3 linked regions of the Mus musculus genome follow. The protein of the gene in region 3 interacts with the protein of the main gene of each other region in a pairwise test. Links are inferred from orthologs where the notes say so. Each region holds a gene or a part of one and is shown on either strand. Other genes may lie near its edges.

Region 1 (3,174 bases), about 36 Mb from region 3:
CTGCTGAGGGGGAGGAGAGAGAGAGAGAGAGAGAGGGAGAGGGAGAGGGAGAGAGAGAGAGAGAGAGAGAGAGAGAGAGAGAGAGAGAGGGAGAGAGGGAGAGAGAGAGAGAGAGCCTGAGCGAGCTAGTCCCCTCCCAGGTGAAGCAGTGGAACTGCCCAGTCCCAGAGTTCATTCCACCGTGGCTAGAAAAGTAGATAAGGGACTGGAGAGATGGCTCAGCAGTTAAGTGCACTGAGTTCAATTCCCAGCAACCACATGGTGGCTCACAACCACCTGTAATGGGATCTGATGCCCTCTTCTGGTGTGTCTGAGACATGACAGTGTACTCATATACTTTAATTAAATAAAATCTTTTTAAAAAGAAAGAAAAGAAAGGAAGGAAGGAAGGAAGGGAGGAAGGAAGGAAGGAAAGAAAGAGAGAGAGAGAGAAAAGGAAGGAAGGAAAAAAAGAAAGGAAGGAAGAAAGGAAGGAAGAAAAAGAAAAAAGGAAGGAAGGAAGGAAGAGAAAGGAAAGAAAGAAAGAAAGAAAGAAAGAAGGAAAAAAAGAAAGAAAGAAAGAAAGGAAGGAAGGAAGGAAGGAAGGAAGGAAGAAAGAGAAAGAAAAGCAGATAAAGGGAGACTTGGAAAGGGGTAGAGACTGCTCCATGATTATATAAAATAGAGCCAGCTTGAGGCTGGTCTGGATCTCCTAACCCTGTTCAATGGGCTTTCTCTGTTTCTGTCTCACAGTGTTTCTCTCCATGCAGGCAGAGGAGAAGGGGCCACCTCCCCCACTCTTACCTCCTTCACCCCGACTGGTGGGATTTAGGAGAACACTTCTCTAATGATTGGCCCTGAGGAATGAAAGCTCACAGACTCATACCCAGAGGTCGGGTGTGGCAGAAGTGTCCTCTCCCCTGCTGGTGTGTTGCTTTCTGTACAGGCAACCCGAAGACTCGGTTATGTGATCCTTCTGGTCAAGGGACCTCACTATGGTATGTGCCCTTGAGCTCAGGAAGGAGAGACGATCCGGGTAGCATGGGGCAGATCGAGGAGGGCATCAGTTCCTGCTTCTCCTGTTCTGTTTACAGACAAGCTGCTGTCCTCCCTGAGCAAGGGGGGAGCAGAGGAAGACAGTGCCAAGGTGGCACGAGGCTGCCCATGTGCCTGGTCCGAGGTGGTGTTTGCAGCATGCCAGACACCCAGAGGTGCTACTCTGAGAACCCAGGTCCCCAACAGAGCATCTTGCAGGCTTTGAAAGCTGACCTCTGACCTGGGAGCAACCAGAATCTGGGTACCCCAACCCCCGCCCCGGACTCAGAGCCCCATCACCACCAGTGAGTCTTGGCTCTGCTTATAGCATCTGACGCCAGAGGGGCTGAAAATAGCCCCTGGAGAAGGGGGAGAGGGGGAAGAAGGGGCTATTTAAAGGGCTCTGGAGGAGCAGGACATAGCAGAGGGAGCAATCAGAAATCATGGCCACTTCAGAGCTGAGCTGCCAAGTGTCTGAGGAGAACCAGGAACGCAGGGAAGCCTTCTGGGCTGAGTGGAAAGACCTGACTCTGTCTACCCGGCCGGAAGAGGGGTGAGTGTGAATCATTGGGAGGCTCTGCCTCTGCTCCCCCAAAGCACCTGCTACATATCAGAGTACAAGCCCCTGAAGTTTCTGGGGCCCCTCCCCTGCTCCAGGGAACTAGCTATGCCAGGGAGACCCCACTTAGCCCAAGACCAGAGAAGAGCTGCCCTCAGTTCACCACCTTTGTCTCCTTTCCACTTTCAGATGCTCCTTGCACGAGGAGGATACACAGAGGCATGAGACCTACCACCGGCAGGGACAGTGTCAGGCGGTGGTACAGCGCTCACCATGGCTGGTGATGCGCCTGGGTATCCTCGGCCGTGGGCTACAGGAATACCAGCTGCCGTACCAGCGGGTGCTGCCCCTACCCATCTTCACGCCCACCAAGGTGGGGGCCTCCAAGGAGGAGCGCGAGGAGACCCCCATCCAGCTTCGGGAGCTGCTGGCCCTGGAGACGGCCCTGGGCGGCCAGTGCGTGGAGCGCCAGGACGTGGCTGAGATCACAAAGCAGCTTCCCCCTGTGGTGCCAGTCAGCAAACCCGGGCCCCTGCGCCGTACCCTGTCTCGATCCATGTCTCAGGAAGCTCAGAGAGGCTGAGATGGACTGTGTGACTCAGACTCCACTGTGTCTGTCTCAGGCTAGGCACTTCCTGGCTAGGACAATGGAGGAGAGCTGCTGGCAGTGGCTGCTTTGTAGTTTGCCCAGAGGTGGGAGCTATGGGAGGAGGGAGCCCGAGGCCAGGATGCCTAGGTGTCCTGAGTCCCCACAGGGAAGGGAGCGAGGATGGCGGGCACTAGGAGTGGAGAGCTGAGCACCCTCAGCCCCAGAAGAAGAGACAAGAGATCCTGGTGAGAGGAGAGGCCCCTGGGAATGGCCTGCTCGGGAACAGATGGACTAGGAGAAGGATGTGCAACGCTCTGGAAAGGAGGGGGATGTGAAGAGGGTGGAAGTGGGCAGGCCCCCAGCACCCTCTGGTAGCACTGCAATAAATGCTCAGCCATGTTCCACGCTTCTCTCTTTCTTTGTGGTTGGGGTGGGCATGAATGTCCACCGTGCACTTCTGGGAACAGCCAAGCATTGGAGCTAAATCTGGCATAACCAGAGGGTACACTCCATGCTTAGGGGTGGGGTACAGGGGCAGAGCTGTAAACAGGGGGAATGTCTGGTCCCCCTTCCTGTGCCACTGCCCAGCCCTGGCTTCATGTCCAGTTCCTGGCACTGGAGCGTGTCTAGCAGGCCAGCTGGCTTCAAGGTTTGTTTAAATGATATCTGTGGAGGAGGTTATGGAAGGGGCTGGCACCAGGGCCGTCCTTGGCTGTGCCTTGGGGTGTGGATGGGGTCAGTGACCCTAAGGCCTGTCAGTTGTAGATCCAGACAGAATCAATCCTTGGCTGGCATCAGGTGTCCCACTGTCCCTGGCCTGGGTGGGAGGACAGGGTTTAAGTTCCTGTCTGTGACCTCTGCAGCTGTTGTGATGATCCCCATCCCAGCCTGGGTGTCTGGCCTTTGGGATAAGGAAGGGACACTGGGTAGGACTGGATAGAAGACCAGGACTATCTTAGCAGAGGCTAGTAACCCTCCCACCCCAGAAAGACATAGGACTTTCTTAGGACTT
Region 2 (4,221 bases), on a different chromosome or scaffold from region 3:
CCCCGCCCGGAGCTTGTCACTTTGGTCGCTTTTTTGACACCGGGTGCTGGGTGGCGGCGCTGGGGGGGGGGGGGGGAGCGCGGCACCGCGGGGCTGCGAGTCCGGGGCGGCGGTGGGGGGGAAACGCGGCGGAGCCGCAGCCTCCCCGGGGGCGCCGAGCGCGGTCGGCCTGAGCCTAAGGGGGGGAGGGGGCGGCTTCGGGAGGGGACCGCGGGCACGATCGGTGCGGCGGCGGGAGGACGCGAGCCCCGGCGCGCCGCCCCTGCGGCCCCCTCCGCCCGTGTGGCCTTTGTGCCGAGCGCGCACCGGGTGAGCGAGCGGGCGGGCGGGCGAGCGAGCGGGCGGGCGGGCGAGCGCGACAAGTCCAAGTACGGGAGACCGAGGCAGTGGGAAAAGAGGCCGGGCCACTTTGCTCGCCAGCCAGCTCGGCTGCGGAGAACCGACTGGTTGAATGTGGCAGAGGCGCGTCTCGCTGGCGCGGCCGTGTGTGTGTGTGTGTGTGTGTGTGTGTGTGTGTGTGTATGTGTGTGAGTGTGTATGTGTGTGTGTGTGTATGTGTGTGTGAGTGTGTGTCTCTGTGGCTGTGTGTGTCTGTGTATGTGTCGGTGAGTGTGTGTCGGTGTGAGTGTGAGCGCGCGCCGAGAGGCCTCCCTCCGCGACTCGCACCGCGCACACGCACCCGCACCCGCACGCACACCCGAGCCGCGGCGGGGCCGGCGGCCGAGAGTTTGCGTGTGTGCTCTCCCCGCTCGCCACCTCCCCGCTCCCCGCCGCCGACTGTGGGAGAATTTCCTAGAGATCGCCTCCAATTTCCGCCATTTTGGGAAAGTTGCACGGAAAAAAAAAAAGAAGAAGAAGAAGAAGAAAGAAATAAAGCCTCCGCTGGATTTTTTTTTTTTTTTTCCTCCTGCTGGAAGCAGGAAAGTGCTTTTAGGGAACGCGGCGGCGCGGGCTCGACACTGCCGTCCCCGCGGGGTGGAGGACGCGGGGCCGGGCCGGGCACCCGCACCGTCGCGGCGATCTTCTCCGCGCAGCGCCGCCGGTGCGGGCGCGGGCGTGCGAGCGAGGCGAGGCGAGGCGGTGGCGGGCTGCGGCGGGGGCCGTGGAGCCTGCAACTTGTTTACCGCCGCCCCGGGTGGCCGAGGCCGGCGGCCGGGGTCCGCCTCGCCACCCGTGCGTGCGCCGATCTGCGCTCATGGGCTACTGTCTGGTCCACGCTCGCGTCCTGGGCCCGGCGGGGCCGGCCTCGCGCAGCGGCGGCGGGGCGGGGGAAGTAGAGGCCGGCGGGGGTGGGGATCGGGAAGCGCAGGAGCGGAGGCATCCGCCGCGCGCCCCGCCAGCCAGCCAGCCGCCGGCCGGAGGAGGAGGCAAACTTGAGAGCGGCGGGGCCAGGGGCGCACTGGCGGAGGGAAAACTTTAATCGCCTTCTTGGGAGAATAGAAAAAGGGAAAAAGAGAAAAGGAAAAAAAAATCCAAAAGGCAAAAAAGTGCATGTGTGTGGGGGTTTCTAGGACCCGAACCTCACGATCGGATCTGATCCGATCACGGCCCACCGCGGGGCCGTGAGAGAAAGTTGACCAGCGTGGCGGCTTTCTTCGCGTCCGGCCGTGGTGTCTGTCTGTCCGTCCGCGCTCCGACCAAACGGGTGGGAGATCCAGCCGCACTGCCGGGTCGCGTGGGTCAGGGCTCTTGCCCCACCCTTCCACGGGGACACGAAGGTAAACTCGCTTTGGTTTTTCCTTCTCTGTCCTCCTGCAGCCACCGCCCAGCTTCCTTTTCCTCTCCTTTCCCCGCTGATTTATTTTTCTTCTTTTTTTTGTTTTTTTAGGGGGGGGGGACCCGAAAAACGGAGTCTCTTTCCTTATGCAACTTTCTCGGGCGCAGTTTGCTGGGCCCATCCCCCCCGCCTTCTGCATCCCTTGGCCCGCTCCTTTGCCACCTTGGGGCTACCGCCAAAAGCATGCATTTAAGATCATCCAAAGTGCCCAGGAACAAAAATAGATGTTAAAGAATTGTTCTAAGTTAAGGGAAACTGAGACGAGAAATAAGAAACCGGTTTGAGTGTGTGTGTGTGTGGGGGGGGGGGGGAGGTGCGTCGCCTGGGATGAGTGAGTTGAATTTTCATTTCAATTTTCGTAGGTGGTTGGTTATGATGCCTTTATTGGTGTGGGGAGCCCGGGAAGCTCTGTACTGGCTACCTCGGTTGCGTGGATTTTTGCGCAAGTTTTTAGAAAAACACTGACTCGAGTAGAGAGCCGGAAAGTTTCAAGTGCAGCAAAATAGTGAGCCTGCAAAACTGGCCAAGGGGGGACCTCTAGTGGTTAAACGCATCTTAAGTTCGAGAGACAAGACCAAAGTTTGGCCTTTACTTGTAGCTACATGCAGTCCGTTTAGACGTGGAAGTAATTAGAAGACCTGAGTTGCAGCCAGATGTGAGAAAGGATGCTAGTCCGAAATAGAAGTTTTGTAAATCAGAGAACAATGACGTCTAAGCTTGCGGACCCTGTGATTTCCATCCTTTCTTGCATACAGTAAGAAAACCAAAGCTTTTTATTCTGAGATTTGAGATTGACACTCCCTAGATAAGAAAGTTTGTCTTCTGTTTACCATCATCTGTACCTCCGTTTTTTTTTTTTTTTATTTCCCCTCTTACGACTCATAGCAGGTAGCTTAATTCGGAATGTTAAGGAAAAGTCAAAATGAAACCTGTGCTTAGCACTTTGCAAAAAACTGAAAAAAAAACAAACCTGAAATTAGCTTTTATATGAACTGATCATTTTGTATGTGTCTCTGATGCATATAATCTCAGGCTAACAAATTATTCAACAATTTACGTATAAACTTACATAATATATACTCATAAAATACATAGTATCTTCTCGTAACGGTGTAATTTTGATTCACTGAGTAAAAACATTTATTTCAGTATACTTTGTATAATTTACGATTTAAACCACTTTATATATGCATGGGTTACATAACTATTTCCCAGTGTGTATTCTGTATTTAAAAAAAAAACATTGAATTTTAAGGATAAAAACAGGAGGGATTAAGGTTGTATAGAATCATTCTTGTAATTACCACCTGTCCGTCACAGTGAAAGAGACAGGGTCCATCCATCTATGTAGCTCAGGCTGGAGTTGAATTTGTATTTCCCTCCTGGTGCTTGGGTAACAGTCTTATTTACAATGGGAATTTTTATTATGTGGTTTAGAGTACGGGAATGATGTGAGTGATTAAAATTAATTTCACCTTACATGTACCTAGTTAATTTGAATACACAGTGCAGTGTGGTGTGATGGGTGTTGAGTTTGAATTGTATATTATGGATGCGAGGGCTTTATGAGAGTGCTTTGAGGGTGTTTGTTTGTTTGTTTGTTTGTTTTCCTTTTCCTCCAATATAATCAATGCTAGATCCTTAAAAGAAGTCTTGGGGGTACACAGCAGTTCTGAAGGTCACCAGACAGATGTCTTTCACTGGACACTTGGTTTCCAGTGCAGCTGGAAATTAAAGAGAGTGTGTGACAGGGTTAGTAGAAAGGAAAACAACAACAAAACTTAAGTTTGTGGGAACTGCTTTGAATGTTTGAACAAGTAGACAGTAGGCGTGCTTGAAAAGGTGAAAGAAGCATTGGGCAAAAAGGAGTGTCCCGTAGCGTATGTGTGCCTTTGGTATGGTTGCATGGGAGGCCAGAGACCAGCTTGAGTTGTTACAGTTACAAGCTTTCCTGCTCTGCTCCCAGTCATCCTTTTTTCCCCCCTCCCTCTCTCCAAACCTGGCTCACTGATTGGCTAGACTGGCTGGCCAGTGAGCTGCAGGCCCTCCCTCCAGTGCTCAGGTTACAGAGGAGAGCGCTCCGGGATTTAGGGATTTAGGGAAGTGCTGGGGAATCTGAACTCGGGTCTTTGTGCTTTCTTGGCTGTCTCTTTATTGACTTTGCCTTCTCCCAGTTCCTTGTTACTAGATTTTGGGGGAGGAGACGGGTAATGAAGGGTTTCTCTGTGTAGTCCTGGTTGTCCTAAAACTCTCCCTGTAGGCCAAGTTGGCCTCCAACTCACAGAGATGCACCCACCTCTGCCTCAGGCATTCTGGGATTAAAGGTGTGTGCCACTACCACTCAACCATTACTGTATTCTTTTTTTTGTTTTTGGTTTTGTGTGTGTGTGTGTGTGTGTGTGTGTGTGTAGCCATGGCTGTCCTGGAACCCACTTTGTAGACCA
Region 3 (3,648 bases):
AGCATTCAGTGAAGCCTGGTAGCCACAAAGATGAAGTACAGTGGCTTGCTTTTTGACCTTTGTATATAACTTCTATTACATCCTTGCAACGCTTTTATTTTTCTTTTAGAAGAAACAGCCAATACTTACCTCCTCCTTGGTATGTGCTTAGACTCTTGTGCACGCTATCTGCTATTCTCCAAGCAGCTATCACAGGCACAAAGGATGTATGAAAAAGCCCTGCAGATTTGTCAAGAAATACAAGGAGAAAGACACCCACAGGTAAGAGATGAAACAGTGTATGTAAGCCAGGCCTGCCCGGTGGCACAGGTACTCTGTAGAGGGTCATAAGGTCACAGGTTCAAGGGTGCTGGGCAAAGTTGGTGAGCTCCCATGCCAAAGGGCTGGGGGCGTATTTCAGCTTGCATGGCACTGGTAAAGTTCTACATTCAGTGACTAGCATCAGTTATGGGTGTGGCAAGACATGGTTAGCCATGTGAAATGTCATAAGGAATGCAGGTTGATATCCAGATGTATGGAATCCTGCCACTCCCCGGTCTGTTCATTTTTTTTCCACCAGCTTTCACTACTCCCAACTACTTGTTTCAGGAAGGGTTTGAGATTGCTGACTAAGTCACTGGCACTGCATAGGCCCTTTTCTGAGTCATGGTTTATACAGTAGTCTTTGTACAAGGCAGACTTTTAACCCAGGGGCTTCAGAATATGTAGCCTCATGTTTACAGTGGTTTGTAGACTCTTAGAATCTTTTTTTTCTTCCTCCTGGAGCTGGGGACTAGACCCAGGGGCTTCTTCCATACCAATCAGAACCTTGCAAGTAACTATTTAGTTCATATAGAAGTATCTTTTTCTCCTGGGTAACTGGGAGGTGAGGAAGTAGAGATTTTTGAATTTGGGATGGGGCAGGGAGAGGGGGGCAGGACTAGAGATTAAAACTAGGACCTCATAAATTCAAGGCAAGGGCTCTACCACTGAGCTGTGGCCATAACTTATAAAAACACTATTAAAAGCAATATATAGCAAACCAGTAGCCAACATTAAACTAAAGGGAGAGAAACTTGAAGTAGTCCCACTAAAATCAGGGACTAGACAAGGCTGCCCATTTTCTCCCTACCTATTCAATATAGTACTTGAAGTCCTAGCCTGAGCAATTAGACAACAAAAGGAGATCAAGGGGATACAAATTGGAAATGAAGAAGTCAAAATATCACTATTTGCAGATGATATGATAGTATATATAAGTGACCCTAAAAATTCCACCAGAGAACTCCTAAATCTGATAAACAGCTTCAGTGCAGTAGCTGTATATAAAATTAAACCAATGGCCTTTCTCTACACAAAGGATTAACACACTGAGAAAGAAATTAGGGAAACAACACCCTTCACCATAGTCACAAATAATATAAAATACCTTGGCGTGACTCTAACTAAGGAAGTGAAAGTTCTGTATGATAAGAATTTCCAAGTCTCTGAAGAAAGAAATTGAAGATTTCAGAAGATGGAAAGATCCCATGCTCATGGATTGGCAGAACTAATATAGTAAAAATGGTTATTTTGCTGAAAGCAATCTACAGATCAATGCAATCCCCATCAAAATTCCAACTCAATCTTCACTGAGTTAGAAAGGGAAATTTGCAAATTCATCTGGAATAACAAAAAAACCTAGGATAGCAAAAACTATTCTCAACAATAAAAGACCCTCTGGTGGAATCACCATGTCTGACCTAAAACTGTACTACAGAGCGACTGTGATAAAAACTGCATGGTACTGGTACAGTGACAGACAGGTAGATCAATGGAATAGAATTGAAGACCCAGAAATGAACCCACACACTTATGGTCACTTGATCTTTGACAAAGGAGCTAAAACCATCCAGGGGAAAAAAGACAGCATTTTCAACAAATGGTGCTGGCTCAGCTGTTGGTTATCATGTAGAAGAATGCAAATTGATCCATTCTTAACTCCTTGTAGAAAGCGCAAGTCTACGTGGATCAAGGAGCTCCACATAAAACCAGAGACACTAAAACTTATAGAGGAGAAAGTGGGGAAAACCCTCAAAGATGCGGGCACAGGGGAAAAATTCCTGAACAGAACAGCAAAGGCTTGTGCTGTAAGATCAAGAATTGACACATGGGACCTCATAAAATTAGTTTCTGTAAGGCAAAGGACACTGTCAACAAGACAAAAGGGCCACCAACAGATTGGGAAAGGATCTTTACCAATCCTAAATCAGATAGGCGACTAATATCCAATATATATAAAGAACTCAAGAAGCTGGACTCCAAAAAAATCAGAAAAATGGGGTACAGAGCTAAACAAAGAATTCTCAACTGAGGAATACCAAATGGCTGAGAAGCACCTGAAAAAATGTTCAACATCCTTAATCATCAGGGAAATGCAAATGAAAACAACCCTGAGATTCCACCTCATACCAGTCAGAATGGCTAAGAGCAAAATTCAGGTGACAACAGATGCTGGCAAGGATGTGGAGAAAGAAGAACAAATCCTCCATTGCTGGTAGGATTGCAAGCTGGTACAACCACTCTGGAAATCAGTCTGGCGGTTCCTCAGAAAATTGGACATAGTACTACCGGAAGATCCAGCAATACCTCTCCTGGGCATATATCCAGAAGATGTTCCAACTGGTAATAAGGACACATGCTCCACTATGTTCATAGCAGCCTTATTTATAATAGCCAGAAGCTGAAAAGACCCCAGATGTCCCTCAACAGAGGAATGGATACAGAAAATGTGGTACATTTATACAGTGGAGTACTACTCAGCTATTGAAAACAATAAATTTATGAAATTCTTAGGCAAATGGATGGTTCTGGAGGATATCATCCTGAGTGAGGTAATCCAATTACAAAAGAACTCACATGATATGTACTCACTGATAAGTGGATATTAGCCCAGAAATTTAGAATACCCAAGATTCAATTTGCAAAACACATGAAACTCAAGAAGAAGGAAGACCAAAGGGTCGATACTTCGTCCCTCCATAGAATGGGGAACAAAACACCCATGGAAGGAGTTATAGAGACAAAGTCTGGAGCTGAGATGGAAGGAAGGACCATCCAGAGACTGCCCCACTCAGGGATCCATCCCATAAACAGCCACCAAACCCAGACACTATTGCATATGCCAGCAAGATTTTGCTGACAGGATCCTAGATAGCTGTCTCTTGTGAGGCTATGCCAATGCCTGGCAAACACAGAAGTGGATGCTCACAGTCATCTATTGGATGGAACACAGGGCCCCCCAATTGAGGAGCTAGAGAAAGCACCCAAGGAGCTGAAGGGGTTTGCAACCCTATAGGTGGAACAACAATATGAACTAACCAGTACCCCATGAGCTTGTGTCTCTAGCTGCATATGTGTCAGAAGCTGGCCCAGTCGGCCATCACTGGAAGGAGAGGCCCATTGGACTTGCAAACTTTATATGCCCCAGTACAGGGGAATGCCAGGGCCAGGAAGCAGGAGTGGGTGGGTTGGAGAGCAGGGTGGGGGGGATTAATACAGACTTGAGATCATCTCTACTTCTTCTTGCAAAAACCATTCTTGAGGTAGGAGTTGACTGCTCTGTTTGATAACTGTAGTCCACCAAGTAAACAAATTAGACTGAACATGGAATATTTAGGACTAAATGCA

Evidence for each region.
Region 1: the proteins of Ttc19 (region 3) and Tcap interact in binary tests that used the Homo sapiens proteins (3 or more experiments, as listed by UniProt). The link is inferred for Mus musculus from reciprocal best matches to the Homo sapiens genes TTC19 and TCAP.
Region 2: the proteins of Ttc19 (region 3) and L3mbtl3 interact in binary tests that used the Homo sapiens proteins (3 or more experiments, as listed by UniProt). The two-hybrid records come from large-scale screens. The link is inferred for Mus musculus from reciprocal best matches to the Homo sapiens genes TTC19 and L3MBTL3.

Annotation. Positions count from the first base shown.
Region 1 is NC_000077.6:98,382,390-98,385,563, forward strand, and holds Tcap (telethonin), read left to right. Parts: upstream 1-1,421; 5' UTR 1,422-1,457; coding exon 1,458-1,567; intron 1,568-1,762; coding exon 1,763-2,156; 3' UTR 2,157-2,564; downstream 2,565-3,174. UniProt on the Homo sapiens protein: Muscle assembly regulating factor. Mediates the antiparallel assembly of titin (TTN) molecules at the sarcomeric Z-disk.
Region 2 is NC_000076.6:26,371,198-26,375,418, reverse strand, and holds the start of L3mbtl3 (lethal(3)malignant brain tumor-like protein 3), read left to right. Parts: upstream 1-1,346; 5' UTR 1,347-1,718; intron 1,719-4,221. UniProt on the Homo sapiens protein: Is a negative regulator of Notch target genes expression, required for RBPJ-mediated transcriptional repression. It recruits KDM1A to Notch-responsive elements and promotes KDM1A-mediated H3K4me demethylation.
Region 3 is NC_000077.6:62,308,933-62,312,580, forward strand, and holds part of Ttc19 (tetratricopeptide repeat protein 19, mitochondrial), read left to right. Parts: exon of another isoform or gene 1-109; coding exon 110-261; intron 262-3,648. UniProt on the Homo sapiens protein: Required for the preservation of the structural and functional integrity of mitochondrial respiratory complex III by allowing the physiological turnover of the Rieske protein UQCRFS1.